Drosophila melanogaster: one gene and its partners. The protein of the gene in region 3 interacts with the protein of the main gene of each other region in a pairwise test. Each region holds a gene or a part of one and is shown on either strand. Other genes may lie near its edges.

Evidence for each region.
Region 1: the proteins of X11Lbeta (region 3) and hbn interact in a two-hybrid assay, tested with the Drosophila melanogaster proteins (one large-scale study listed by BioGRID).
Region 2: the proteins of X11Lbeta (region 3) and CG7164 interact in a two-hybrid assay, tested with the Drosophila melanogaster proteins (one large-scale study listed by BioGRID).
Region 4: the proteins of X11Lbeta (region 3) and robo3 interact in a two-hybrid assay, tested with the Drosophila melanogaster proteins (one large-scale study listed by BioGRID).

Annotation. Positions count from the first base shown.
Region 1 is NT_033778.4:20,953,647-20,964,199, reverse strand, and holds hbn (homeobrain), read left to right. Parts: upstream 1-3,290; 5' UTR 3,291-3,612; coding exon 3,613-3,769; intron 3,770-5,354; coding exon 5,355-5,661; intron 5,662-5,810; coding exon 5,811-5,940; intron 5,941-8,424; coding exon 8,425-8,512; intron 8,513-8,738; coding exon 8,739-9,286; 3' UTR 9,287-9,532; downstream 9,533-10,553.
Region 2 is NT_033779.5:7,776,931-7,783,260, reverse strand, and holds CG7164 (uncharacterized protein), read right to left. Parts: upstream 1,797-6,330; 5' UTR 1,627-1,796; coding exon 1,410-1,626; intron 1,350-1,409; coding exon 721-1,349; 3' UTR 501-720; downstream 1-500. Other genes in the region: Brd7-9 (bromodomain containing 7/9), read right to left, coding at 213-270; Uro (urate oxidase), read right to left, coding at 2,016-2,500, 2,570-3,143; CG7179 (uncharacterized protein), read left to right, coding at 5,276-6,330.
Region 3 is NC_004354.4:10,625,735-10,633,345, reverse strand, and holds the start of X11Lbeta (X11Lbeta), read right to left. Parts: upstream 4,030-7,611; 5' UTR 3,931-4,029; intron 3,173-3,930; exon of another isoform or gene 1,958-3,172; 5' UTR 1,538-1,957; intron 1-1,537. Other genes in the region: CG9806 (uncharacterized protein), read left to right, coding at 6,236-6,828, 6,882-7,161, 7,218-7,610.
Region 4 is NT_033779.5:1,252,974-1,260,621, reverse strand, and holds the start of robo3 (roundabout 3), read right to left. Parts: upstream 4,206-7,648; 5' UTR 3,732-4,205; coding exon 3,677-3,731; intron 1-3,676.

The DNA of each region.
Region 1 (10,553 bases), on a different chromosome or scaffold from region 3:
CACTGCTAATTGCAAAAGTCAATCGTTTTACCGCCCATTCGCAGCCACTCAAAGTGTTGTCAGTGGCAGGTATAACCTGCGCCACCCTCCACGGTGGCAAGTTAAAACTCAAAATTAAATATCCCAGCTAAACGAAAAGCTATCAGTTCACCACTAACCCTATGTTCATCCTTAACCCCAACCGTCGCACCGCCCAAAACCTCCAGCCTCCAGGACATCTTCTTCCATTTTCGCCGTGCCCCCGGGGAATGGAAAGAATATCCGGTAGACAATGGCAGGCAGACTGTAAGTAGACGAAAACTTTTTAGTTGGATTATGTGAAGGGTAAGAATGAACGCATACACACACACACACAAACACACACACAGATACCCCATACCCATTTAGCTACTTTGCACCCACACAACGAGCGAAATTCATTTTATTACTTTGATATATTAGATTTAATGGTTAAGAAAAATGTTGCCAACAGCATCTTTTCCCCCACGCACCACATCTACCCCCTCCCCCCCCCTCCACTGGTTCTATTGTGAAAAGTGGGTGTTTGTGGGTTGTTGTCGTCGTCGCAGTTAACCTTATTAAAAGGTGAACACAGTCATGGCACCAGAGAGAATTGCCACAATGTGTTTACACGCAGCTGCTGCCAAGGGGGCGGAGTGGGTGGTGTGGGCGAAGTGGGTGGCATGGGTGTGGTGAATGGTTGGATGGGCTGCTGGCGGAGGGGGTAACACGATAATGACCTCGTTGGCTTCGATTCCCTGAGTGTGAGTGAAATGCCGGGACATCCAATGAGCTTTCACCAGCGTTGCGCATGTCCCGAGAGAATCTCTCGACCAGAGAGAATTCTGCGAGAGGACTCGCAGCTGGAGGATATCTTCTGACTGCCCCCCATTCCGGCCCCAAATAGATGTGCTAATTTAGAAATTACAATGAAGTGCAGTCTTCAATGAGTTTGAGTTTGAGTTTGGCTTTGATTCAATTTGTCATTTCACACTTGGCCTAAATGGCTTTCGGTTGCATGGGGCGGGGTGTTGTAAGAATGGCTCCTACAGCTAAATTAATTGAAAGTGTTGAAGAGCACAGACAAGTTGAGCTTGGATGGGAGGAAGAGGTCCTGTAAAGCGACAATATTGATTCGCAATTACTTACACTCAAGCGCATCAAATTTATAATGTGCTATTGTTGGGTAAGGCATTTGCCTAATAAAAATATATGTACTGATGATTTTCCAAGACTACTATTTAGCCTTTCTCAATCACCCATCAAAATATAAACCATTTGATAAGAGATTACCTAACGAATTATAGCTACTTAAGAACTAATTCCTCGTATCTTCAATCCAAAATGGGCAATCAGATTGCCCTTGGATAAAAAAGGGCATGTCCTGGGCTGGATTGAGGATCGGCAATTAGTGAGGAAGGAGCCCTTTTTTCTTCTGTTTAGCAGTCCTAATGAGCCGGCGATTACGACTAAGTGCGCTGATGATGCTGCATAAATTTTGGTGGCCGGCGAGCACTATGCATTCCACATTAGATTAGAGATTCCGAGGCTGTATGATCTGGGCAGGAACGCAATCCTAAGTCTCGAGAGATGCCCTCTGCAGCTCTAAATTAAACGAACATGCAATCGGATTGCTGAATGAAATCTGCATAGGGAATGCGTCCTATGAAAATATGATTAAGCGCCTCGGCAGACTAAACCTAATCCTGCGTCCTGTTGAGTCCCCGTGTCCTGTGGCGTCATGCATCTGGCACATTAATGAGTCCGGTCAACGCTTTGTCCCGCTTACTTGTTCACAGTTTTCGCGGAAATTACGTGTGCACTTTTCCCGATTTTCCCGGCTGAAGGTGCCGCGATCCTTGGCTTTGTTTGGGTTCGGGGCACAAAGGAATTGTGTAAGTTTCGACAAATTAGAGACCATAAATCCCGGTCCCTGCTTTGTTATCATTGTAGCCGGCGTTTTAGCACACCATGTATCCTTCGGGCATTAGATGGTTTTTCTTTTTTCGGGAACCACTTTTGGCCATTTTTGGCATCCTTTTGTGTTATGCAACCTGTGGGTGGACCAGGGTTCTGGACTAAATCTTGGATAGAGAGCCCTGTCTAAACTGAAGCTCAACGCAAATCCCAGATCTAAGTGGGTGATTTAAACAAGGCTGAGCTATTTTCGGTTATTTAATCGTAGCAAAACCAGGGCCTACATATTTTTAGATCCTTTTTGGTTGGTGCTACTTAAAATATTACATTTTTATCATTAAAAGGAAACATGCAGAAAATATAAGATTGGTAGGAAATCTTCATAGTATTTAGATAAATATATGTATTAAATTTATTTATGTATTATTATTATTATGTATTTATGCACTGGCTATTAATTAAAATGATTTGAATACTCATTAGTGAAATCAGTTCCGCACTGTACCTGTTGCTTTTAACGAAATTCAATGCGGCCGAAATCCTTCGAGATGAGATCAGTTTAATCAATGAACTTAGGTTTCGATCCTGCCACAGTTCCTTGCTAAGTAAAGGGATTCATTGATCGTTTGGCTTGTTCAATGAAACCACGGGCTCATTCTCAAGATCACGGGGATCCTGGCCATAAATCTATCGCCGAAATGGAAGCGGAACTAATAAAAGAGGACCTGGCAAATGGCCGACTTGATTCAGGTACCAGTTTGGCAATCCCGTGAGTGGTTCAACCTGTTTTGTGATTTGTGGATGAGCCGGGAAACGGGAGGGAGAGGAAACTACTGTGAGAGAGAGTGAGATATATATAAAGGAAGAGGGGGAAGGGTGAAATAGTTTTTAACAAGCGAAATTTGTGAAATAAACACAATTAATGAGCAAACCATGTTAGTTACAACTACCGAAAGAGAGTGCATTAAATGGGTAGGAAAGAGAAAGGTGTCAAGGAAAAGTACCAGAGAGATTTGAAAAGAGAGACAGAGAGAGAGAGAGAGTGGAGGAGGCCAACACCCCTAAGCCAAAACCAAAAGCTACCTGCAACCCAAACTCACACACACCGAGCGAGCCAACCCAACACACAGATACACGGCACTGAGATACTGAGATACTGGGGGAAACTACCCCTACAGCAGGAGAGAGAGGGAGAGAGCGAGCGTGTGCGAACGAAAGAGACGGCTGGCATGGCAGGACATGGGCGAAAGCGAAGGATTGGGAACTGTGATTCCGATTCGGATTCGAGAGCGAGCGAGCGAGCCTCGCCCATTTCACTTGCTAGCGAAAAACAGGCAACGTATTTAAACCTACGGGCGGCAGGAATCGCACTCAGTCGGTGGTTGTTGATCGTCACGAGCACTACTCACTCGCAGTTATTCACTCGATTCGATTCAGCTCATTGCAGTTCGTCGCAGTGGCTGTTCCGTATTCCGTATCGAAATCGCATCGTTTAATCGACAAATTTACCCGATAATAGCAATTAATTAAGCTAATTTTCAAAGCGTGCTCAACAAATATTGTGACATTAAACAAAAGTTGCCAAAAACGAAAATCTGGAAAATCGCTAACAAAATAAGAAAAAACCAACTTGTAGCAAGTGAAGTAAACCAATAGAAATCCGTACGGATCGCGAGTTGCTCTTTTGGTGGAGCTATGATGACCACGACGACCTCGCAGCACCATCAGCACCATCCAATCATGCCGCCAGCCATGCGCCCCGCCCCCGTTCAGGAGAGTCCTGTCTCACGCCCCCGCGCCGTCTACAGCATCGATCAGATCCTGGGCAATCAGCACCAGATCAAGCGCAGTGGTGAGTTTTAGTTTAACAAATATAAACTGGGGATAACTTACTGGAATGTAAATGTAAGGGGATCCTTTTTACAAAAATTCATCGTTTGCCGTCGGCGATCTGCGTTAGAGTTTCTTAGTACATCACACAAAAAGCTTAAAAGGAAACATAATCAAGATACAATAATTGCATTTTCTTAGAGAATCTTAATAAATTGTTTAGCTTAGTTTGATTTAAAAAATCCAATATCAAAATTAATTTGTGAATAGCTATGGGCAGGCGTAAACGAATTAAAAATTCTAAATTTGAATGTATAATTTGAATTGATTACGACCTATTTAGTTAGTCTAGCTTGTTAATTACAGCTTTGAAATATTTCTCACACACATCTTAAACATAATGAAAACATCCTGAATGCGTTACAACTTACCACCAGCAGGGCAAAATATCACGTTAGACTTCATGCACAGCCAATGGGCTCCCCCCCCAAATTTGGTGCTCCAAAATCCGAACCGTCCTCCTACTCCACTGACCACATCAAATAGATCCTTTCGCAAAGGAGCCGGAGCAGTGGAGAGGCAGATTGACATTGCCATCCATATCATATGCAAATTGCTCGCAAGGGACATTTTATCATAGTTGGGAAAGGTGAATGAGGGCAGTTCAAAACTTTCCGACAAACACCGACCTCGAACTCCACCCAGAGAGCAAAAAGAAAACATATCATGACAATGGGAGTTGTTCGGCATGTCGGAACTCTTGTTGTGGGCGTGGCCAAGCTGCAGGAGGCAGTTCGCCCAAGGATCTACTTGAGAAGAAAAAAAAAAACACTGTATCAAAACATATCTGGCCGGATATATCGCATGGAGAGCGGGAACGGGCAATTGCGTCATTAGACCCGTAATTAGATTGAAGTCCTCGGGAGAGGTGGAGGCTGGAAATTGCCTGGGCTGGATTCAGTGGAATCACGGCACCCATTGGTCCAGGTTGCAATTTGGCGACAACGAGCGGCGTGCGCACCGCAGGACACTGCATCCTGTGAGCCTCGTAATTTGATGCTCGCTGGAAATTACCTTCTTGCCACATGGGTCTGCGTAAATGTTACGAAATACGATAAGGATACAACCAGGACACGGGCGTCCTGCTGAGCGGGGACGTGTCCTGGTGCCATTGTGAATCCGATTAATTTGAGGTTCATTAAAGTTTGATTACACGTTTTGCCTTGGCTCGAAAAGAAACCGTTTTGAGTACTCACCAAATCGTTTCGTGTGAAAGGATATTTATATGCTCGCTGCCGTGGTATTGGGGTTAAAACTTATTCCGGCTTTATATTTATTTGTTATTGATTGCCAAATCAATTTGCGTAGCTTTCGAGCACTTGAAGGATTTGAATTTTATTCGAGACTGAGACCGTACAAAAAAAAGGGGGTTAAAATTGAGGATATAACTACTTCAGCCACAATTGAATGAACTTCAATTTCTGCAGCTGCCGTTTGGCTTTCGATTTTAAAAGTCAAACGCGAAACTTTTTGTTTCCCCACACACTCGAGTTCAATTCGAAATTGTTTAACTTTATTTCCCTGCCACTTTTTGTTTTTTATCGCAGATACACCCAGCGAAGTGCTGATTACGCATCCCCACCACGGCCATCCGCATCACATCCATCATTTGCACAGCAGCAATAGCAACGGCAGCAATCACTTGTCGCATCAGCAGCAGCAGCAGCACTCGCAACAGCAACACCATTCGCAGCAGCAGCAGCAGCAGCAACAATTGCAGGTTCAGGCCAAACGAGAGGACTCCCCAACGAATACGGACGGCGGCCTGGACGTGGATAACGACGACGAGCTGTCCTCCAGTCTGAACAATGGCCATGATCTCAGCGATATGGAGAGGCCGCGTAAAGTTCGAAGGTGAGTGCAGCGACAATCCGCTTAGCAGATCAAATCGTATTTACCCATTGTCGGGCTATTAAAAAACATGCCAACAAAGAGGAGGGGGGCAAACTCTTATCCGACGTATCTAACGTGCCGCCCTTGCCGTTCCTTTCGATTTTTCACAGATCTCGCACAACATTTACAACATTTCAATTGCATCAGCTGGAGCGAGCCTTCGAGAAGACCCAGTATCCCGATGTTTTCACAAGGGAGGATCTGGCCATGCGATTGGATTTGAGCGAAGCACGCGTGCAGGTAATTGAAATTGGTTTTCGATTCGCACAATTATTTTCGAATTAAGTTGCAGTTCAACTCGCTCAAAATGTATCTGTATTTTCATCTAACGGCTATGGGCTTTAAATATTGCCATCGCAGTGTCCGCTAATAAGCGAATAAACCACTTTCAGAGTCTGGGAACTTGAATGGCTAGATAAGAACGGGCAAAACAATCGCCGAACCCAATTTGTAAATGGTCTTTGAAACACTTAAGCCCCACTTTGTATACAAACACGCTTAGTTCGTTAGTCGGAGGAGGGTTGAATACGGGTGAATACGCGTCCCTTTTTCTCTATAGAGGGTTGGCACCAAGGACATTAGATATTGTGATTTTCCAAATGATTAAATCGTCCGCGCTCACATGGTGTTGGTATTTTTATTAACTCTACTTTCGGGTAAACAATTAAAGTGGCTTTGGGTGCTGACTGGCGGCAGGACACGCGGCCAAATATACCCGACTACACATGTAATTAGGGTGTCCTTTCGCCCCGAATCGCATACGATTTGATTTCAGTTGTGAAACGCTTTCAAACACTTCACATCTGATTGAGCGATTCGCTCAATTTCGATGCTGTTTGTTGACAGGGAATAAAAAAGCAGGGAAAAGTATGGCCTGGCACAAAAAGTGAAAAAAAACAAGAAGTGAAGAGAATGTGAATGTGAAACAACTTGACCTAAGCACTCACATAGGGATTACCCGCTTCGAATACAAATTGTCCGTTTCACGGTCGTCATCCGCATGCTCACATCCTCACATCCGCATTCTCATCCTGCGCGTCCTTGCACTTATTCGTATCTGTTAGCAGATTAACTGTAATTGGTCATTGATTCGCATATGCAGAGCGTTTCGGGTACTTGAATAGTAACCGACTTAGAGCTGCCCGATTTTAATACATGTGTTATTTTTTTTGCTGAGCTGCTGATAGATACAAAAGTATCCAAAGCGTAATCCCCGCTTGTTTTGGGGTTGGTAAGTGAGCAATTATTTTCGGATTTGCATGCTCGTTGTGTGGGGCATTTGGTGAAAAAAAAAGGAGTAACCAGCGACTTATCTGCCGGGTTAAGTCAAATTTTTATTGTCGAGTTGGGGTATCGAAAAAAGCGAAAAAAATATTGAAAGCGAATTTGTATCAATCTGGAAATTGTTGAAACAAAGCGTTTTTGAACGCTTTATGCAGTCTTTTTAATTGGAATATATGCAAAGAACTTTCACATTTGAAAATCCAAAATAACGAATTCTTATACAATTTTTTAAAGTACACATTTTTTTTTTGAGTTTACAAACCGCCTCTTCCAGTTTTTGCGACAGTTTCTTCTCTCGTTTTGATCGCACATGTGTGATAAATGCTGAACGGATATCCGCAATTCAACTTTTACTGCCTGGCTGCTCTGGCACAGTGGTTTAAGTTGTTGCCATAATAATTGCTGCCAACTGACAATTAAAAAGCCCACAAAATCGCACACACACACAGCACTTATGCTGTGAAGGGGTTGGGGGTGGTGGGTGGCGTTTTCTCAGCAGAGACACACACAGGACACAGGACAATAATTGGCAGCAATTATAGCAAGGAAATCGTTGCTAATTTACTACTCGCTCAACTGCACACATTGTTGCAGATTGTGGGTGGCCGTAGAAGGGGGTTACATCTAAATACAGGGTGTCTATAATTGCAGAGCCTTCTCTATTGTCTCGAATTCATCAACGAGCGTTACAGACAGTTGTCAAGTGATTTCAATTTACAAACAATTAATTTTGCCATCAAAAACGAGAGCCTCGGCTCGGACTGAAAATTCGTCGCCCCCAAAAGGCGGAAATGTATGTGCAGCCAACGCCTATTTTGTGGATGGCCTAGGGGGCACATTTGCATAGGGGTGAATTTGGGTGGCTGCGAGTTTGGTCCACCCCAAACCCAAGCAAGTGTCGAAAAATGCATAAGACACCCTTTTGTCCGACGAGCGAGACGGGTAGCGACAGACAGAGAGCGTTGCAAATCAGAGCAGAACACTTCCGATTGGATGCCATTGTATTTGACCTAACCCTCCACGGCGTCCAAGTCCTTTGGCTCAGACACTCGAGGCTGGAGGCGGCAGAAGGAGCCATCCAAGGACCAAGTGCTTCCAACTTTGCGAGCACACAGATTGATAGATTGGGAAATTGTTCGGTTTTTGGTCAAAGTCAAAGCAATTACAAGTCGCTTGCCAAGGCGCTAGTTTTGTAGAACTAATCAAGTTTAGATCGAGGGATAGATACCCTTTAGAAAAGTATGCTGGTTTTTGAAAAGTATACAGGTTGTATACATAAGTCAGAAAAAGGCATATCCTCTCTTCGGTAAATGATATATCAGATAATTTTATGTTTTTTATTACCCCTTTAGCTTATAATAGCCTTAAATCCGAGGGCACCCAAAATTTGCATACCTACAACTCCATCTCTAAACTCCCTTCTTTTTCGTGCACTTGCAGGTGTGGTTCCAGAACCGTCGGGCTAAATGGCGCAAACGTGAGAAGTTTATGAATCAGGACAAGGCCGGTTACCTTCTGCCCGAACAAGGTGAGTTAACCACCCCCATCTCACGAATCCACCCCATCAAATCCCAGCCATCACCCACCCAACCAGCGATACGCATTTGATTTGTCCGCAAATTGCCAAATTACGTGTGCAACATAATTAGGAATTATGTCGCTTGTGTCGCTTGTCTCACCACCATAACCACCGCCACCACCCGCTCTCTCTGACTTTCGACTAACGAAATCGCCCTTTTGCCTTCCGCTTGCAGGTCTGCCGGAGTTTCCGCTGGGCATTCCCCTGCCGCCACATGGACTTCCGGGTCATCCGGGCTCGATGCAGTCGGAGTTCTGGCCCCCGCACTTTGCCCTCCACCAGCACTTTAATCCCGCTGCAGCCGCTGCCGCCGGCTTGCTGCCCCAGCACCTGATGGCGCCCCACTACAAGCTGCCCAACTTCCACACCCTGCTCTCCCAGTACATGGGCCTGAGCAATCTGAATGGGATCTTTGGCGCGGGAGCAGCTGCAGCAGCGGCGGCAGCATCGGCCGGCTATCCGCAGAATCTATCGCTGCACGCAGGACTCTCTGCGATGAGCCAAGTTAGCCCGCCGTGCAGCAACAGCAGTCCGCGCGAGAGTCCCAAGCTAGTGCCTCATCCCACACCGCCGCATGCCACGCCCCCAGCGGGCGGCAACGGAGGCGGCGGACTGCTAACGGGCGGACTGATCTCGACGGCCGCCCAATCGCCGAACAGCGCGGCAGGTGCCAGCAGCAACGCCTCCACACCCGTCTCCGTGGTCACCAAGGGCGAGGACTGAACGCTGTTCCGTGATATTTGGATTCGTTATGTACATATATAGATACACGCATACTTGTAGATATCTAGTTTTATTCATGGTCACATAGCCCACGCACTGTAAGATATTTGCAGCTTTGTCGATTGCCAAAGTTAACGTAGTTGTAATGCCTAAAGAATTATGTATCTGTAAGCGATCTTCGAGCGAACATTTTGGTAGTCTATCCACTAAGTTTAAACTGTCGAGAAATAAACGATATGAAAAGATACTTGTTGCGTTTTATGGCTGGTTTGAAGATATGCTAAAAAGTAAGATAGATTGTTGATCAAAGAAATGAATTATTTCACTATAAAGATCTTACGTCAAGTGATCTTAAGTTATCACACAAAACATAGGATGTGTCGTTTCTTTTGTACATTCCTTGTAAACAGGTCTTTCAAATTTTCTAGCCTTCTTCACATATTTTCATTTTCAATGCCAAAATTAATCTCCCGGTTAACTTCCGTTAACGGGAAGGACTTTTATAATTTTCCACAACATACATACATACACCGATCTACCCGCCGCGCGGCAAATTAATCGCAAAAAGTTTGTACCTTAAGTAGGGCTTATGACCCTACAAAGATCCATTATGAATCGCTCAAATGCTACAATTGATTGTGTACAAAACTCGACTCGACCTTTCCTTTTTGCCAGAGTCAAATGAAAGCGATCTTGGGCCGAATATCGAGGATATTCGACGACCTACCCCGACAATCGAAGAAGGGGCCAGAGTTCAAATCGTATAATAATCTCGATATTATGTCAAAATTGCCGAGCGCAGGAAATGTTGCATAACATGTGAAGAGCAGGACAAGGAGCAGGAGACCAAGTAGACCAAGGAGCCGGAGAACAATGGGAATCCAGAAGGAATCTATCGCATTGTGCCAGACAGCCGTGTAGGAAATGCAGCTCTATGGGCTGGATGTGTCGAAGCCGAAGGATTCGCAGCGTATTCAAGTGGTGGTGGCTGCACAGAGGAACCAGACCAAGTCCTTTCATTCGAGGCCGCATGCAGAGCTAAATGCTATATTGATATCTCGTAATTTGTGCCATAATTACTTTTTAATAATTTCGCACAGCGCTCGTCCGCGCTGCAGGATATCGCATTGTGTGCGCGATGGCCTCAAATTTAATAATAAAAACGCCGTCAAGTTCCTGTTCGTTCGATTCTGTCTAGATTTTCACCGAGATTCGGATTCGCATTCGCATTCGGATTCGGGTTGCAATTTGATTACACTTACCACTC
Region 2 (6,330 bases), on a different chromosome or scaffold from region 3:
ATAGGTATTATAATGGGTGCTGAATAGTATTATTACTGCCTTTAGACGCGTAGATTATTTCTAACCATGCATTTTGTATTAATTGTGACAAATAATGTACACCCATTTTTTTCTAAGTGTAGGCATGCTCAAAAACAAGCGGCAAAATGTGTGAGCGAGATGGCCTATGGCAACAGGGGCTCACGTAGACACAGCACTTTCATTTCACTCACCTTCATATTTCTCGCGTCGCTCCGACTTGTTTTTCTTGTGCTTCTTGGAGGAGCCCATCTTAGGCTCCCAGTTGTCGAACAATTAGGCAAATCGGTGAAAATGGTAAGCAAAATAATTAAAAACAAAAATCCGCTGGCGAAAAACAGACGCCATGAGCAGTGTGACCGTTCCTTTTGTCCAGAGAATTGTAAGACGTCTCGCTGATATTAGCCATTTGCTTTCCAACACTAAAAGCAATTGATAACATATCGATTTTTACGGCTTTGAATTTAAACTAAAAAATTGTTAATTAAATTGTAAATTTGTTAATTTAAATTTATTTTATAATGTCAAAGATTTAAACAGTAACAGATTTTATCAGTAAATTTTTCTATGTACTTATGCTTGTAAAGTGAAAGAATACTTTACTGAAAAGAACAATTATTGTAGTTTATGCCTTATTTTGAAAATAATTTTTTTTTTGCCGAAGTTTAAATCATTTTTTTTTCTCATTTTTTACTTTGCATTTCACCGAACTTTTCGTTTGAGAATAGGGGCCTTGTTGGTCAGCACACTTTGCCGGTTCATCGGAATGGCAACGGTCCGGGCCTTTCGTTTGCCACCCGAGCGGCGATTGGTGGAGGTCACCATGTTTTGCGTCGGCTTCTGCAGGGCGGTCGACTTCCTGAGACTCGCCTTGTTGGCGGCACTGAATAGGGTGCGCGTCGAGTTGAGGCTCTGCAGCGAGGTGTCCAGCTTGTTGCGAATCCTGTCCAGATCGGCACGCATTCGCTGGATATCCATCGCTATGGTGTGTCGATCGCTTTGCAGCTTCTTGTGCTGCTGCAACATGGTCTCCAGCACTTTCTTCTGTTGGATGACTTCACGGATGCGATTGTGCTGCTCAAAGCCACGCGATCTCTTCTGCTTCTGGTTGATGCAGGCCTTGACCTTCGCCAATGATTTGATGGCAATGCCATGGCCACTGTCCGCCTTCGAAGAGTTGCCGCCACCCTTGATGCGCCCCGCCGACTTGCGTTGCGGTTGCTTGGACACCAGTTTCGATGGCAGTGGTGGTGCAACTACTGGTACTGGATTCGGAGTTCCAGATGTGGGCAGCGGCCCCGTTGGCCGTGGTCTTCGTGGTGCTCGTACCGCTAAGTAAATGATTGATTGGTTTTGAAAGTTTCTGGTTAGTTTTTAGCACAACAGCTTACACTTCATGGTCGAGTGAATATTGGCCACCATATTGTCGTAGGTCTTTCTGGTGTCGGGCAACAGGTAACGTCCTGGCAACTGACTCGATCTTAGCGAGGCCTTGATCCTGTCCCTCCTGGACAGCTGCGACAGCCTGGTCTTGGCGCTCTCCTCCTGTTCCCAGTCCCTTCGCAGCTGGGTGGTCAGGATGTGGTGCAAGGCCAGTCGATTGGTCATGGTCACGCTGTTTGTGGCTAAATGGTTATTTGCTAATTTCGAATTTAGATTGCGAATTTTGACTGCCAAAGTGGTCGAAAATTGTGGAATTTATTTTATATATTTTTTTTTATGAACGATGCCTCATTTTAGGATTTTAGAAAATAGTTCTGATATAATTTGGATTTATTCAGCCAAGGCAAGGGTGATCTCGAAATATGGTTTTGCAATCGATTTATTCATTTTTACACTTTATTTTTTATTAGTTTATTATTGTTTAAATAAGAAGAACGCAGCATATGATTCGTTTGCTTAAATAATTTAAAATACATATATAACTTCGCCGCATGCAATTATGAATTGGCTAAATTGATTTAGATTGATTTAGATTTACTACATCAGAGATCGATCTACAGGTGACTATTGATGTTCTTCCGGGCCAATTGGGCATAGATGGTGCCATGTGGCTTGTCCACTGGGATGAAAACTTCATTGTTGTCGCCGGGTGCAATCTTCTGGAAGGGCTTCGTATCGAAGTTGAAGTAGTGCTTGTTTGGCATGGTCATCGAAATGACCGACACCTGCGGCAGGACATCCAGGACCTGTCTTTCACTCAGATACAGGGTGTGCTGAACGGAGGGCGAGGACACGCCCACCTGCGGATCGCCAGCAAAGTTACGAATGATTATGTTTTTGACCGTTTGCCAGGCCCTGAGGAAGTCCAAGTTCTCGGTATCGGAGTACTCCCAGGAGCAATCCACCACGGTGCTAAAGATGCGATCATACTGATCTGGCAGAGATCTGAACTCATCGTTCACGAAGTTCACGAACGAGGATTGGGTCGTCTTCAGCACCCGGAGACCCTTGATGCCCGTGATGACCGTTTGTTTGGGATCTAAAACAGTAAAGGAGGTGATAATTTAGTAGTTTTAAATATTATTGCTTTAGTTATGTTTGACTTAACCTGTTCTCCTTATAACCACATCGCAGTAGTGAAGAGCGGTGGGCGTGAATATAAAAGCGTGATTGTGCAGTGATCTGTTGTCAATGGAGCTGAAGTCGCAGTTCCCTTGGACTCCGTTCTCGCACTTCCCATTGACGTTGGTCCTGGTCTCCTCCTGGCAAACTCGCTGCCAGGGATACGCCTCCACATGAACGTGCGCCTCCTCCACGTGCGAGTATTTGTTAATAAAGTGCCTGGCCAGGAGCAGAGCAAACTTCTCGGGACTTTCAATGCCATGCTTTTTCGCCAGCAAATAGACGGTGTTCTTCTGCGAATCGGTGGCCACGATGTCCGAGTTGTTGCCCTGGTAGTAATCCTTTTTGCTGTACAACTTCAGGTGAGTGCCCACCTCGAATTCCTGGATGGCGTGCACGGGTCCGTTGCGGCTGACATGCAGCACCTTGACCGCATCCTTGCCGTATCCGTGATCGGTAATCTCGTACTGATACGGCTTACCATGCTCATCCATGCCGGCGGAATTCTTTGGGGTCTGGTGGTTAGCCGCAGCTGGCTGTCTGAGGGGCGTGGCAAACATTGTGACTGCAATCACTCTCACTTTGATACTGATGATGCCATCAATTTCCTTGCCGCCTTTTATATCAGAACACCTGGATAACAACACAAATCTTTGTGTAGTTAGGGATTTTTTTTAGCGCATTTCGTAGAAAGCAAGTGGCTGGGAAATCGTATATCATCACTCTCACTTAGAGTATTAAAGGTCTAACTCAAATTACGACTAGTAGCGCTGATAATCGCGGCCTGGTGCCAAGTAAACATGACCAAGACTCAAGGCTATGTTTTCTATCTCCAAAACTTTGCATCTTGTTTACTTCACACTCATCTAACCAAATCCTTATTTTTGCAATATTACGTAGGAGATAAGTCGCAAATGCCGTTTTAACCATTAGCATCACTTTCGGGGGTAAATGAAAATTGGTAAATAATTTTTACAGATCACATCTCTGAATTTTATTCTTTTTTAAAATCTTAATTTCTCTCTTATTCACGCACGAGTCACTATTATTATTAAAACCTTGAAAATGTGTGCGTTGAAAAGATACATTTATTATTTCACAACATTGGAAAATAACAATTATTTCACCATAGAAAAAAAATATTAATTTACGTCTTAAATTTGATGTGACACTTTTGTTTATTAAATTTTAGGAGACCATTTTTAATATCCTTGATAATGGTCTTAAAAAATACACATGTTTAAGTTGAGTTTCTGGAATAATCTAATGTGACAGAATGTGTTCAGATGGATTCGACTGATCAAAAGTTTAGATATATAATTTATAGAATCGGAAACGCTTTACTTTACCAGTTACATACTGTTCAGTAAGCCTAGTATACCCTTTTAGTAAAGGGAATAAAAGGTTGGCATAGCAACTGCAGATCTGAAAGAGTGCAATTTGTAATAAAATGAAAGCTGTATTTGCAAAGAGTTTATCATTTCCGTGTGAGTCTAAACTTTTTATAAACCATTATTCTATTAAAAAACAAAACAATTTTATTATGTAGTGGGTCATAAGTACGTGTGAGCCAATCTACATATGTATATCAAAATATTTATTAACTAACCTATAAAATATAGAATGGTTTTTTCAAATACTCATAAACAGTAAATGACAATACACATATAGATACTATTATATATCACTATAAGATAGGGCGTTTAGTCTCGATTTATTAGCTGGAGGATTTAAACATACCACTTCAGCTTAGTGTTAAGTCAGTTTTATTATATGGATATAGAAAATGTCAGATGTTCTCTGCTATCTTGTGGTGGTCAAATTGCTCAGCAGCCAAATAATCTACTCTCTGCATAAAATTTCTATCTACAGAAGCTGTGGCTTAGTGCTAATCCAGTTTAATCTCATACATACTCTGGGTGAAGATATTTCAAAAGATATGTGCGCGCTTTTTTAAGATATACATTTGACATATATTTGTTTAACACGGTTTTTAGGAGCGTGCCTTGTATGCATAATGGTCTCCCACGATCCGAAATAGCTATATTCATATGTTTGTTGGCAAGTTATGTAAGTTCCGTTTTTGGTTATTGGCTTAAGATAAACTCTATGTTGGAATTGAAGTGTCATTGTTTGTTAAGCGAGAGTTTTATTTAGCAAAGATAATAATATTCGTGTTTATATAAAGGTTTTGATTTCACGGTTAAGTAAATTTGATAATAAAGTTTACTTTCGCATAAGCACGCGTCATAAAGTTATTTGGCTTAGTTTATGCATTATATTGTAGTACTCTACTGATATGATAAACTATATGATCTTGAAGATGATGATATGATTGTAAACGAGTAGAGAACCCCTGCCACATGAATCATCCCCAAAAGATGTACCGCCTGGAATTTAATCTAATGGATTGGTAGTTTTATGAAGCTTTTGGCACCTCGAAAACATGTTGTCCGCCCCAAAGTTTTGCGTGCGGTTCAGTGAACTAAAGTGCGAGTTATGAATGAGAGAGTCTTAGACAAGTGAATGCTTTTGTTGTCGACTCCACAAACAAAAGTGCAAATTGTTTTCCAGTGAAACCTGCGACGCACCCATGTAAAATATTATTTTTTGGCAGGCAAACATCGATGTCTCGTGAACCGCAACGAGTTAGTTGCGTCTTTGAGCGCGTTACCAGCGGACGAACAACGACATGGAGCTGCCAATAGTCCTTCTCTTGGTACTGAGTGTCATTCCATTTGAAGCCCAGGGAGCTGTGCACGATGAGCTGCCCCAGTGCGGCTTACATGGTGTTTACAGGCAGCGACAGAGTCTCGTCGAATCGCCCAACTATCCGGACAACTATCCGGTGAACACCTGCTGGGATTATGTGGTGCGATCTCCCTACCGCTGCCCCACCAAGTTTCACATACAGTTCTTGGACTTCAAGCTGGAGCTATCGGAGAACTGCAGTCGGGATTACTTGGCCATTGGCCTGAACAACGATGGCGACGACATGGAGGTCTTGTGCGGTCAGGTGCTGGGTATCAAAAAGTATCACACCCCCGATGGAGTCCTGCGTCTGCGCTTCCTTAGCGATGATTCGCCTTGGACAACCAACGGTGGCTTCCGTTTGCTCATCACGCGTTTGGCCTGCGAAAGGGAGGACTTGGTGGCCAGGGGTCTGGACGATGACGAGGAGGACGTAGATGGCGACACGGTGCAGGTGAGCGCCAAGTCGCCTCCGAAGAAGCTGCTCACCCAGCATCACCATCATCACCTGCCACAGCAAAGCCATCAGCCGCAACTGGAGCCAGCTTTCAACTATACGCAACCAAATCGGTTGGGGTTTAATTTGGGCTTACAACCAGGTCTTGGTTATCCCGGTGGATTATACCCACCGCCTGCGGGATTACCACCCCAGTACACACCGCCATGTGCTCCCCAGCAGCAGCAACTGTTGCAGCAGCAGCAGGAGCAGCACCGATTCCTGCAGCAACAGCAATTACAACTGCAGATCCTGCAGCAACAGCGACTGCAACAGCAGGTCCTGCAGCAGCAGCAGCTGCAACAACAAGTACAAGTTCAACATCCACAGCAACTTCAACTTTCCCAGCAGCAGCAGCAACTGCAGCAAGAGTTGCCCCTGATTTCCGATCAATATCAGACCACATCCTTTCAGCCACATGCTGTTACTCTCAAGGATTACGATGCCCAGACCTTGCAGCAGTTTGGTGGTCAGTTGGATCTCTGCTGTGCCAGCAGCTT
Region 3 (7,611 bases):
GAAATTGAAGGATTCAAAATTAATTAGTGACAAGCCAATGCAGCCATCAAGCTAATGCAATCAGAGTAGAGTGAACGATGAATAGGGCTGTTTTGTGTTCATGGTGATGATGGTGGGAATGGGTGGCCAGGGTAAATACACTTCGATTAACGCTAAATTAGCTCGCGCTGAACTGAACCGATTGAACAAAAGCCGGAATTGTCAGTGGCCAATGGCGGGATGGCTGGGAAGGCCAGGATAGCTGGACAAGGATGAAAAGGATAGCTGGGCTGGCAGGATGATGACGCCGATGATGATGAGAGGGAGAGCGATGACGACAGCAACCAGGCTGGCGGCTAATGGGTGGCTTAAGCGAGTGGAGCCACGACAATCACCCAACCACCCACTCATCTTTCTTCTGGCTCTTTGTGCATTGTCAGCCCCATTGGCCATGGGATGGCATGGCGTCGAATGCATTTGGCTATGATTCACAATACAAAAGATGCAGCGGCGGCAGCAGGGGGCTGAATAAAACTTGTGGGTAGCGGATAAATAGATGTATAAGCGGGTTCTATCTATACAGAGTGCCCCTCCATCATACCACACTCGATTCTGTGTGTGTCTGGCAATTTGCTAGGCGCTCGCCCCTCTGAAAGCTGACAAAACAAGTCCCTGACCCCAAAAAGTAGGCAACAAAAAGCGTTGGCTGCTTTGTCAGCTTCCCTTATACACCCAAACCCCCCTGTTTATACCTCAAACACCCCCGGGCTATGCTAATAACCAATATTTTAGAGCCAAGCCGCCGTCTGCCGTTGAAATTGTCGCCAGGCCAGCAGCAACAAAAGCAACGGGCGAAAAAAACAAACTTTTCACAGATAGCTGAGCTGAGCTGAGCTGAATCATGCCGCAGACAAAGGATATGTGGGTATGATGCGCTGGCAGCTGGGAAAGGAAGTCGAGAATGGGCCAGACGAGTAGTACAAGGCATTAATTTAACAGGATAATTGAAAATGAATAGTTGCATGTGGCAAGATGTGTGAGGGGCAGGAACGTACAACATCCGGACATGCGACAAATCAATGCGGAACCAGGAAGGGACCGTAGATAATAATTTAGAGGGAATTTCCCTTGAGCCAATCGGGGATTTCCCAGACTAGCGACTGCTGCACCGTTTTAACGACCAGCTGAGGCTTTAAAGGGTTTATTAATAAGGGCAGCAGTGGAAATTATTCATGGCTTATTCAGAAGAGTTCAGTTCATTATGGAAAGTCAATAAAAACTATAGATGCCGTGGATATTCATTAACAGTTGTTTGTTAGCAGATGTTCTATGAAAAGATCCTTGAAGCCATTGCTGTGTAAAGTATTCGATTTACACAACTCCAAAATATCATAAACTCGTATACCTTAAACTTTAGGCGTGTAAATCATTAAAGCTAATCATTTAATTTAAATGTTTCATAACACTGCACTGCAGCCGAATTGATAGTAATAATCTCTCCATTTAACGGATTTCCTTTCACAAATAAACATTGAAATATTGACTATTCATAGCTTACCTTTAGCCACAAGCTCATATGCTTGGTGGTCAATGCGAATTTTGCCTGGGTCTGCGATTTCGATTTCGATTCGATTATTTGGTTTTGATTTCGGTTTTTGGTTTGTGTGATTCGTGTGTGGATTATTTAGTTTAAAGAGAATTTGACGTTAAGAATTGGTGATTAGACACACTTTAGGTTTGGAAGAATATATATATATATAAATATATATATATTTAGATTGGGTTAAGGTTTAATTTATATTGTTGTTTGTTTCTGGTAGCTGCTGTTTGGTTTTCTGTTCAGTTTTGGCTTCTGGCTGCCAATTGCGAATTCCAACTCTGGTTTAGTTGGCCAGTTGGGAATTCGAGTACAACAAAATTTAACTTGGCAAACACAACGAAGGAACGATGGAACGAACGCATCAAACGAACTTGGGAACTACGAGGAACGAGAAACGAAACGAAACGGAATGGAACGGATATTATGTAACTTTACGGGGATAACGTACAATAGAATGTGTAATTTTGATCCACCGATCGACCCAATCATTATGTGTGTGTGTCTGTGTGTGTTCAACATTCTCAAATTATAAATCGATAATCTTTAGTTATTTGATGATTTCTCGAGCATGCAGGTTGGTTAAGAAGCAGGCAATGGTTGAACATCTAATAGAAACTCAAGGATTTGGTAGAAATGGGGCTTCTATTTACAATCGGGACTCCAGCCAATCAGTGGAAGTTTTAACGAGTGCCAACGCACAGGAACCATCTTGAGAACTTCACTTTTTCAGATGTTATTCTCAGTCGGTCTTCCCAAATTTCAAGGACTCGAGTGGGAAAGTTTGTTTTCTTAGGCAGGAGAAGTTAACAGAGTGGATAAAAGTTCGATTCAAGGCATGTTAACTAGACAGAACAAGAAAGACAGACAGAGATGGAGCGACAGACAGAGACAGAGATAGAGTGAGAAAGAGAGAGGCAGACCGATATAAAGTATAGTTATAGTTCTTATTTGCTAGTATAAAACAAAAATGAGTGTGGTTTATTTTTAATAGTTGTCAACAGTCTAGATCTAAAGTGGTAAAAATGGCAAGACAAATCGGGTAATGATTCTATGGTTGCTTAGTAAGTTATTAAGTTATTTTTATTTTTTTAATAGAGAATGGGCGCTACGTCTTTTGATTTTTTATCGAGGAAATAGATAGAGCTACGCTAGAGGTTCTAGAGGGATGCTAAATGCACATATTACGGGAACGAACACATCTAGTAATGCATTTTTTTGGTGGAGCTCACATTTTTCAACATTTGACGACATTTTGGACAAGTGGACTCGGAATCTGGACTCTGCCTTTCTTTCTTTTACATTTAACTCTTTTCTTGTTATTTGATTGCGAAGTGGTTCAGATCGAGGCTGGTAGTTGGTGGTTGTGGTTCTTGGTGGTGGTGGTACTAGTGGTTGTGGTGGAAGTAGTAGTTCTAGTGGTGGTGGGCGGTGGCATTAGCTTTAAACTAGCGGGCGAGCGGTGAGCGTGAGGCGGTGGTGGGTGCAACGTTTATTTTATTTCTTTGGGTTTTTGTTTTTTCCTTAGCGTTCAGCGGTTCTCAGTTCACTTATTGTCTTGTATTTGCATTGGTTTTCTTTCTATTTGGGCAGTACGAAAACAAAATTAACGTAAACTGATTTGCCATGCCCCTTGGTCCTTATTATTATATACTTTGTTTTATCATTTTGCAGACAACGCACAACTTAAAAGCAAACTAAACAAACTGTAAGCGAGTGCCAATGACACCGGGATCAGATGAGGGGGGGTGCTGGTGGGGGTGGTGTCTCGGTGGTTTGTTGTATGGCTGCGATGACGTCGACGGCGACGGCAAGTGGTTGGAAATGAAGTTTTGAAGGCAACGTGGCGCAAAAGTTGAGCGAAGGGGGTGGGTGCGGTGATTGAGGGGGAGCGGCTGGCCAGGGAAAAAAAAACAACCCTCCGCTTGACAGGCGCTGCTGACTCAGAGCGAGAGAGCAATATCACTTGTCAGGAGAAACAGCAAAAAAAACGAGAAACTACACGATGAATTAACTAAAAGAAGACAAAATAAACACACACACACACACTTTGACAGAGCGACAAGCACACAGGACGGCAAATCGGTTAACGGTTAAACAGTTAGCGGTTCAACGGGACAACTCAAAACCGAAAGCGGAGATCGCGAAGAGTTGCAATCGGGGAATCAATTAAACAGCTGTAAGCACATAGCTTCGCATCACATGCAAATGGCCAGAAGGTTGAGTACAATAATACATATTAAGCGTGGGTTTGTGTTATTTCTTATTTCGCTTCCTCCTGCTGTTTGCACACTCATCAAAACACACACATCTACGCGCACGCACACTCGCACACGCACACTGGGCGCACAAACACTGGAAAAAAAAGTATGTGACTGGAAGAGTGGGGAGTCGGTATCCCATGCGTACGCCTTGCGAATTCGTGACTCGTCGGCAGCACGTTCAAAGAAGGACTAAAACTAAACCAAGCCAAACAAGACCAGCAACTGAGCGCTGTCTATGTGTTGGTCGATCGGAGGGGGGCTGGACAAAGAGAGCGGCAGTCCCGTTACGCGCTGTTAACGCAACAGCGGGATGATGTTAAGGTTAACCCTTAACTGCACTACATCCGTGACATCTGCTTTACTTAATATCATTGATTCAGCTGTTTGTATTTTAGTCCTAGACGATGAAAGAACTTCATTCAAAAAAAAAAATAGTTCCTCTTCTCCCTTAAGACAAAAATTACTTTCCTTGAAATAGTTACAATCAATAATTACGTAAAAATAATTAGCAAAACTTAAAGAATACAAATGAAACGTCTTTCTCCAAATCCAAAGACTGTTTTTTAAACATATACATTATATGTCATAAAGTTAAGTTCGAATTACTTATGGGTTAATAATACGCAAAGGGTACAAGTGTTAAGCTACCAAAGTTAACAGAACTTATGTATGTTAACCTAACTGTTTCCCATAGTCAACAGAGAGAACAAGAGAGGGAAGGAGAAAATTAAAGAGAGCGAGAGTGGCGCATGTGGGGAACGCGACAAGTGGCGGTCAATTTGAATTGACATTCAATTTTAGTCTGGCAATGTCAATTCAAAGCAGAAAGCAAATAAATATGTACACAATTAATTAATGAAACAAGATTTAAAATATCGCCTGCTATTTTTAATGAATACATTCAGATATGTTGCACAGGACACCATGCACTACCATCAAATTTTCTTTACAGCTTGACAGCTTGTTGGAAACATGTGACTAACGGAAGAAGTATTTCAGACTGGCAATGTTGTGCAGAGCACAGACTTTTGTCTGCAATATTTTGACATTTCGAAGGGCAAAAGAACGCTTGCACGATGACAAGGGTGAAGAGGAAAGTCAAAATAATAAAAATTTGTAAATTGTGAGGGCTCTTTCCAAACTTTCTCATTCTCTCTTTTCTCTCTTGCTTGAATATGGTACGATTGCCAAAGACATGTTGCTACTAAAATAGACACACACAATATGCTTGTACATGTGTGTGCGTGCGCTAAACGCTGGAGCATACTTAAGTGCGTTCGCACTCGATTAATTAGCAAATTGAAGCCATCCGACTTTGGCAGTTGGTCAAAGGCAATCGGCACGGAAATCAGCGCAACTAGCCACTGACAACTGTCAATAAGATGAGCACTTTACATAATAAGTACTCTCTCAGCCACACACTCGCACAACAACCCACATAGGGAACATACAGTGACACACACACATAAAAGAAACACGCACGAACACATTGGCAAATCAGGCGAACACGCGCGCGTTTATGGGCCGCAGAATTTTCGGGGGAAATTTAATTTAAGTCTCTAATTATCGAAGACAAATTCGGAAGAATGTATTGAAATTAAATCGTTTACATTTACCGTAAACGCCCTTAATATCCACGATTTTTACACAAATTCGGTTAGGTTTTAAATAATATTGTTTATTATCGTATATCTGTTTAATTGGCGTTTTTGGCGTGTTTGTGTGCGCACCGTATTGGTTAAACGAAGTGCTCCAAATGCTGAGAACACACTGAAACTAAAACGGACGAGGAACTTACGCTGAAGTCATGGCTTTGACATTTGCAAACGTGTTAACCTCGCAGGCGGGAGAATAACAGTACACGAGAGAGCCGATGAGCAAGACAAGAGAAAGGCACCCCTGCGCAGGCGCAGTCCCGTAATCGAAATCCACCCTACAACTTACCACTCAGCTGGTTGCAAGGGTGCAGTGGGTCTTCATTTGTGGCAGACAGGTGGCGCTACGAAAGCTTTAAATATCTTTATGGTAAAGCTTTAAATAAAGCTAAAATTGTTCATCCTTAAGCGAAGTTAACTATTTATAATACGGTACATTTTAAAAATATATTTCAGCTACTTTGATTACTGGTCAAAAACGACAATCAACTGACAACTTTCCGTATTCCACCCCAAGACCGTTACATTTTACAACGATCCTGCATCTCAATTTTTTACAATTTTTGTCATTTTTTTATATATGTATGTACATCAAGCCAATCAAGCCATTTGTATTTAATTTAAAATAATATTCGTTTCCGAGTGTATTTCGGGAGAGCAGTCGTCATGCCGTTCAAAGCGATCAAGTGTGTCGAATTCTGACCATCGAATTCTGATCATTCTAAATCAGCCCGTCAGAAATGATAAAGCTGCCCTGGTACTTGATTGTTTTGCACCTATGCCTGCCTATAGGTGGTACTGGGGCAACTGCGTCTAACCTTCGTCCTCTGCACTACAATCTCAGTCTGCTGACCGAGGTGGAACCATTGAAACTGAGTGGAAACTTCAGCGGCGAGGTTATCATCCGGCTGCGCGTGTGGCGAGAAACTCGCACGATTATCCTCAGTAATAATGGCCTACAAGTGGGGGAAAACGTGTTGCTAGTCCGGAGGAACACCGGTGGTCGGGTGACGGTGCGCAAAATGTGGCAAGCTAGCAGCGTCCACCAACTTGGCATCGTGTTCAATAGTATGCTCTGGCTGGGCGAGGAGTATACGCTGGTTGTCCAGTTTAGTGGCCAGTTGTCCCGCGCCAGTGGCTACTTTGTGGGCGGCTACATGGATTCCAAACATCATCCGCAGTGGATAGCGGTCACGCAACTGGCTCCTAATCTGGCCAACACAGTCTTTCCCTGTTTCGAGAATCGCACGTTCCTCGCTCCCTTCATTCTTAATTTGGCGCATCCCAGGGGTACCAATGCCGTGAGCAACATGCGAGTACTCAAGACCTCCGAGTTTGTATATATAATCATGTACTATATCTGCATTACTTAATTTCCTTTGGCAGCCATGAAAAGGATGACTACGTATGGACTACCTTTCAGCAGACCCCAGCGATGTCAGTACAGAAATTGGCCTTCTCCATCAACCGGTTCACCAATCGAACGTCCGCGGAGATTCCTAAAGGCCCCGCGCTGACCACCTGGCTGCGACCGAAGATCGCGGATCAGGGAGACTACGCCATTAGCATAACACCGCAGATTATTGTCTTCTTTATTAGCCTCTTTGGAAAGCCGTATCCTGCGATGAAGATTGATCAACTGGTTCTGCCCGACACGGCCTATCAGGTAAGGGTGGAGTATTGAAGACCACTGCAACATAGATAACCCATTTTCGTTACAAGAGTCACGAGCATTTAGGATTGGTGAGCTACCCGGAGGCAGCATTCCTCTACAGCGCGCAGCGCTCGACGACTAGGGCCAAGCAGCAGGTGGCCAGTCACGTGGCCCAAGAGTTCGCCCACCACTGGCTCTCCGACTTGGAGAATGCCGCCCTTTACTGGCTGCACAATGGCCTATCCGACTATGTGTCCGGATTTGCCGTGGACAATGTGGAGCCCGCCTGGCGGTTCCATGAGCTATCCATGGTGCGACAGGCATTGGCTGTACTAGTTGAGGACTCCAAGAGCAGTGCTTATCCCATGAGTCTTGCTTACGCCTCGAAGTCCTCAGATACCCAGGCGAATCAGAAGTCAGCCCTTCTATTCCGCATGCTGCACTCCCTCATTGGGACCCAGG
Region 4 (7,648 bases), on a different chromosome or scaffold from region 3:
GTTGTTGCCCCACTTCGGATAATAATGGAGTGAATTATGTTTTCCCATGGCAAACACTCGAGGCTCAGCGGGATATCAATGGAGGTGGTTGGGGTATAGGATTAGCATTGGCCGACACAAAACATGGACATCGACATCGAGAAATCGCTTAATTAAGTTAATCAAAATATGGCGATTATGGGGCTAGCTTTGAATGGTGTCCTGCATGTCCTTTGTGGCCATTGTTTGCCTAGTGCGTTTGCACCAGCAAGCAAATAAACAAGTGTCCTGTGTGTTTTTGTGCGCATCTCTGCTCTATTTGTATTATGACAGCCGTTCAATTGATGCTGAAATTAATTAAAATTTTCCCTCGCATGCTCATGTGCGGCTGTGTTTGTGTGTTTGCCACAGGACTATCTGCCTGAATTGTCCTTTGGCCCAAGGCTAAGATAAATTACAATTTGCCAGGACGTTGTGAATACAACTGGAAACTGGTAATTGCTTTGCATGGAAATTGTGTGTGTAAAAACAGCAGTAGGAGTTGGCTAAAATAAATATTCGACTAGCTAATGGGTTTTATACTAAGCCAAATATTTTTGCACAGCTTTGTTGTTTCATTTATCTAATTCGCTTGTAGTTTCAACTAATGTTAGTTATTTCAACATATTGATATACTCAATAAAACTGTGAACCTCTCTTATTGAATTTTCCATAGATATGTAGAAATTTTTCCTAGTCAATTGCCACTGTGCTTGATAAACTGCCAAGTAAATACTGTATCTCTACCCGACTGGCTTTCAATTTCTCAAATATTTCTATATTTAATGGACTCCAGATTAATTCCATATTACTTTATTACTTGCCGACCGGGTCCTTCTCCCTGAAGGAATAAATACCTTCGTCCTTTCAATTAACTCGAGTCTGGCCAAATAATACCTATTCTCATGGCACCGACCCCGAAGTCGGAAAAGAGCAAAATTCGAGCAGGTCCTTCGAGTTTTTGGGCGGAAAGTCTTAAAGGCAGCCGATGGGGTTCGTTCTAGCATCTAAAATAATTTAACCCTTTTTTTCCCCTTCTTTTAAAGTAATTTAATGCCTCAGTTACGAGGGAAGCCCACACATTCCGCAGAGAGACGGCCAATTCTCTCGTCTGCCATTGATGCCGCTGGCTAAGGGGCAAGAATAGATTCGTTGCTACATGGGGAATATTCCGTGGCACTTATCAAAGGCAGCAACAATTTAGGTTAAATACTCATTAATATTCCGGTCTGCCAAACTTTTTCCTACTTCGCCGTGCGGATGGCCCTGTGTTTTTGCCCTTTGCTTTCGGTAGCCGCCAGGCACGAGGGCCAAATACAAGACAACCGATCCGAGTCCTTTCTCGAATCCCAGCCAAATAAATAAGCACACGCACATGAAGAGCCGAGCCGAGCCGAGCCAAGCACACAGGCAAAAACATACAGCAGAAATTAATTTTGCGTAGCCTACTTTCTTGGGCGAGAGACCAGGAGCAAAACAAGCGACCCAGCAATTTCCCGGGAAAATGATAATTGCCTGGTAACGCAGTCTACATAATGCATAATTTATAAATTAAGCAAACTTGGGCAAAGTTGGGAAACGAAAATTATGGCACACGACTGGGAGCCGTTTTGCGAAACTGGCATTCGAATTGGGCCAAAAGCTGTAACAGATATGGGAAAATATTGTATTTATATTTATAAATAAAGCTCGAATTAAAGGCACTTAGTGAATTGTAATCCATATTTGGGTACGCGAAAAAATCTGAAACTCCGACAGAATACAGAGGTACGATTAATTTACCCAAAAGAAGAATCTTTCGCTGAAAGTATTTAATTTTCTTTTATTGGATACACCGCACACGAGCAGAAGGCAGCCAACCCACTAAAATGCCAATATATTTTTTGTTCGAAATTTATTGCATACTTTCGAGAGTAGCGTGGGAGCGGGCGAGAGGATCTGCGCGAGCAGGACGGCGATACAAGGACACGCGTGTTGTCGGGATTTATTTATTTACTCCACCATATCCTTCATCCTGCATTGGCGGATTTTGTGCGCTGATAAAAATTTTGACATGCCAAACGAGGGGAGCAGCCGGGAAAAGAATTTCGGGGGGGGGGGGGGATAATGGAAAGCCCGAAGAGGATGTAACAACAAAATGACAGGATATTATTCAATTGAATTCGTTTACATGCATGAACTACATAATAAAAATGCCCTTAACCAAAAAAGGAGATCCAAGCGTAAAAAACGCAAATTGAACAGCGGCAACATGGCCGCACACACACATATGTACATATGTACATACATACATACTCGTATATGTGCTACCTCCGAAAAATATGAATAATCTTTTGTATCATTTGTGGCCGGGCAGAAATGCTTTTTTGTGGGCCCACATTTATATGTTTGCTTTTTGGGGCAAAGTGTGGGAAGCCCCTTGTTAAATGCGCATATTTTATGCAACAAAAACATGCCGCTTGAGCCATGCCCCTGAGTACTCACTTGTATTCAGAGCCACGACTCGAATTCATACTCATTTCGCTTAGTTAGCCAGCCCGAGGGGAATCCCCGGCTTGTTTCTCGTTTCTTGGCAGAACATTTTCCACTAATTTGTTGGGCTGAAAGCAGCGGAAATTGTTTTGCGTCTGGCACAAAAGTTTTGCTCATACGAATTCCCATTTGATGGCTACAACTTATTGGTGAGATAAGCAAGAGTTATAAATTATAGTTGGCAAAAGTTTTCGGGAGGAAGTAATCAATGCATTACGCATAAGCATGTTTGAGCGGATGGAACGATTCGGGAAATGCCTTAAGTTATCTGCCAGTTTAGGCCAATAAATGCAAATCAGGAAATATGCTAATCTGGCAACTAAAGTTTGGTAGCGATTAGGCAGGATGAGCAAGGGAATTAATTCAGAGTGTAGATTTAATGGAAATTGTGTTGCCACAATAACTCTACTACTTGGAATATTATGTGTGAAATGTTACCAAGCTTAGTTATTCAACATTTGATTTATCAATAATAACCGAATTATATTTCAGTCTATTCTTAGCTCATTTTGATTCAAAGTTTTAAGTCTTAGTAAATTGCTTTGGTGGCTTCTTCAGCTATCAGCACGGACTTTATCCATTTACTAATGCCGAGTATTTATGTATCTTTCTGGGACAAGTCTGTCTCCGGAATGCAGATTCCCAGTCAAGTCTACGTATCAATAAACCAGCATTCAGGTGAATCCAAGCCTGACAACCAACATTCTGGCAAGCCTTTGGACGAGCCATTCAACACCTGTCGGCAATCATCATAAATATGCCCGGCTCCCAAAACATCTCGGCCAAGTGAGTCGGATGAGTTAAATGCAACTCATTACGGGATCGCAGAGCTATACAAATGTCGTGCATTCACGAGCTGGCACTTCTGTCTCTGTTGAGCAATTTTCTATGGCATATTTGCAATTGCAGGCCGGCTGAATTGCACTTGAATTGCACCCGTCTCCGCCTTTCATCCACATCCATATCCACCCACTCGGAGCCCAGAACCCAGAGCTTGTGGCAGCTGCACAAACAGAGAATGCCAGGCAAACGCAGGAGAGGATAGGATGGATTGATGGACGGAAGGAAGGAAGTCCATGACCAGGATAGGTTTTTGCACCAGTTGTGTATTTTTATTCGAGCTTACCTTGTGCATGGGTCCACTTGAGCAGGAAAACGATGAATACGAAACGTAAATCCATTTTACAATTTTTTACAGTATTTCGCCTTAAGATAAACTGGCTAAAAAAGCTGAGCACGAGCACTTATTTGCCCAGCCCAACTCCTGGCACACACACACACAAATACACACCGGCACACAGACACAGGGGAGCGACTCCCGCAGGGATATAAAGATATATATATCTATTCGAGTTGCTTGATTTTTACTCGACTTCCATTCGCACACTATTCGCTACACTTCCCCTGCAGTTTAGCAGTTTACAATGTATTTTGCGGCCGCAGTACTTCCGCTTCCTTTTTGGCCAGGCCAAATTTGGCCAAAGTCTGGCCCTCGCATGTCCGTTGTGTCAATTAGCTGATTTCCGAGCAATTTCGCACTTCGTTTGTTTATGTTTGCTGCCAATCCAGTCGCCCACGAAGCTGGCCCAAACAACTGGGCACCAAAAAAGCTCGACACGCGCTCACTTTCAGCTCGATAACCGTTGGCGGCAGTAACCAAAACTCAACTGAACGGCGTCCCACGGCCAACTCGATATGGGGTTCCTTCAGATCCGGAGACCGGGAACAGTCCACAGCAATGTTCGCTGGGTGGTGAGTTCCGGCCTTCGGAGCAGCTCGGCCAGTTCGGAACTCGGGGAACTGGGGAAGTCGGAAGAGCAACATTTCGGAGTAAATTCCTGCAGGCAAATCAGCTGTTTCAGCGGGGAAAGCTCGGGAAAACGAAAAGTAATCGAATTCCGTATGATAAGGAGGTATCATCATATAAGAGGCTTTCTGTAATGTTTGTAATGCTATGTGTTTCCGTAAAGTACAATCATACTAGTAAATTTTATAACAAAATGGCAGCCTTCTAATGGTAGTTTGGTGTTTATCTTATATCAATAGGGTTTTTAAAATTTCCAAAAACAAATAAATAATATTGAAATGGCTTCTCAACATTGTAGTTTCTGGTCTCAGTCAGGTTTGTTTATCATCACAGTTGCGAGCATAAACATTTGTTGCTGAATCCTGCCGGCAAAAGTGGTGAGTCTGCGCACTGGCCGAATAAACAACATTTTCGGAGTTTCAACCGGAATTCCTTCGCTCTCTGAATGCTTACAACATTGTGAGAGAATGGTAAAATATATTCACTGAATGAGAACCAGAAAAGCAGCGAGTAAGTTTGAATATTTCGAAATAGCCGTTAAATGCCGATGCAGATAAGATATATTCCAGTTGCACAGTAATGACACTCCTAATAGATGCTGATTACAGATATCAATGTCATGATTGAAACCTATTGTTTTGCTAATATCAAAATAATTAATCATTTCAAGTATTACTTTAATTTGATAGCTTTCATATCCTTCTACATATTCATCAATCCCCTGACTTTATTCACATGACTTCGAGTTCTTTGTTTTCCCCCGGGGCATTAGGCACTTCAACTTGCTGCTAACCCGCATTTGAGGGCAATCTGCTGAATCGAACCAAACATCAGTGGCATAGTTAATTAGGATCTCGGGAGCCGACATCGTCTTTCACCTGCTGATTCCTGTCGTTTGCAGGCACCGCAATCAAAATTAGCTCAGTGGCTTGCGGTGGTGATGCATTTGGGTCCCCGCGCCCTAGGAGTCCCCACCACATCATTCCTTTCGCCCCCATTCTAGATCGCATAAACAACAATTAAAACGCTACAAATTGCACACACAAACATCCTTCAAAGGATGTGACCCATTCCCCGCTACCCGGCTTTTCAGTCCGGTAAGTATTCTCTTTTTGCCGTTCCCCGCTGTTTTTCTCTTTCTTCAATTATTTCCGATTATTACCAGGAGGAACTCAATGGAAAAGCAGGGGGAGGGAGGGCGAGGGATGGATGGCTGAGGTCGAGGTGGATGCTTCAAAATCCATGTTAATTGCTATTTTGCTCCCATTGGCTTTAAAAATCCTTGCAAGAAAACTAACAACCTGGGGGTCAGATTTTCCTGATTTGCCATTCATTCTACGGCCAGGACAATAACAACTCCGAGGGAATATCCTTGCTGCTCCCCTAGTACACTTTCCTCTGCTTTTACTCGTGGGAAAAGGGAGAACCGGAGAACAGACAGAATGGAAAGATGCGGGGGGAGTGGGAAATTACACTGGCGACCCAGTAAAGTAAGTTCCGAAGATAAACTGCAATCGAAGAACGTTGACTGAATGATAAATTACACTTGACAATGGACACCCACACATCCTTACACCCCCACACATCCACTCACACTCTTGCAGATGTGACGCGTGTGTGGCAGGACTCCACTGTCCAGGACTCCACTTTTCCTCCAGCTGGCCTTCTTTTGCTCGTTTGTCATAAGTTTACTTTTAATATAAAAGTTTCCTCGCTTTGGTTATGTTGAAAAGTGATCATCGTGATAATTACACGCCCATAATGATGGGGCTTGTGCACAGTGGGTCAAAAGCAACTATAAAGGACATAACATATACAAATATAAATACAAATTATGAGTTCCTTTACCAAATCATGTATAAATTAAATAATTATTTATAAATTTACCAATCTATCATAATGTCTAACTGATTGCAGCACTTATGCGCGCATTTGTTTAATTTTAAATGCATTTATTAGATGACAGATGAGCCGTCTGTCAACCCATATTTCATAAAAAGTTGAAGGCACTTTTCGCATTCCTTGGCAGCGTGGTTTTGGGCGTCAAGCTGGGTCCGTCCGTCAGGGGGCGCCACTGCCACCGTGCCCGAAGATTTATGTGCTCATGTGGTCAGAGATACGAAGGACCCCCGCCAGGACTTCTCCAGCGCCAGCTCCCCGTTTTCAGTTTCTTGAGTGCCAAGGAGCTCGAGTGTGTTTGTCAGCTGGGTGGGGGAAATGGTGGAGGGTGTTCTGGTCCAGCGAAGGGGGCGGGGTAATTATGACGGTTGTGGGTGGCAGCTGTTGTGATGCTGCTGCTCGAGAAGCGGTAGCCCAGTTCCACTCATTAAGGATATCCGTGCAGGAAAACAATGCCAAAGCCAGCACTCACCCGCACACAAAAGCCGTTACAGTGTAGCCGCAAAAGGGAGACGGCATCCAGTTTTCCCGCCGCTATCCCCCCGCTTCGCTTCGCCACCGAGTTTTCCCCGCTTTTCCCACCGCCTTTCCACTTTGCCCCTCACGTAATGCATTTAGTGGCTGCCGTTTTTGAGCTCTGGCAGCTCGCATTGTTTGCTCTTTGGCCTCGCCTCTCGCCACCCAGACAAAACAATACAAATTTATTTTGCCGCCACGCCCACAACACCCTAAAAAAGGGGCGAAAAGGGGGGAAAGCGGAAGAGATTCTTTTCAGCCAAGGCGAAGCGACGGCCCAGAACTTGAGCAGTGCACGGAAGTTCCGGTTGAGCCGGCGTCCTTCCCCTTTTGCACTCTCTCCTCGGGAGAAAAGTTTTCAGCCAGGAATTATATCTGAAAGTTGAGCGGTGACAGGGCGGCCGAGTGATGCTGGAGGGGGTGTGGCAGGCCGGGCCGGGGGATCGGTGCCCAAAGGAGTGTATAGCACACCCAAAAGTGTTAATTCATTTGCCTTGGCATAATTTTATTCATTCGGGTTTTGCTGTTGAATTAAAAGTTTGGCCAGCAACTGGCATAACAAATTATAAGAAAATTGTACGAGGTAAGTGCTGGATTCCAGTGGGATTTATTAATGTTGGCCCAAAAAAACAACTGGTTAAATATGGAAACGAACTAGGGATAAATATCCATATCCATTTAGAAGATAAACTATATTTTAGATTATTTTTCAGATTCTCTGACACTATTTGACAACACCCAAATCAAATCAGAAGTAAATCGGAATGTCCAATAGCTCAGACAAATGATCAATGGGCAAATCACTTACCAGGACTCTGGGAGGAGGAAATGCAAAATGTTTTTCCACTCTCTGGCTGCCAGGATGTGGAGGAGAGC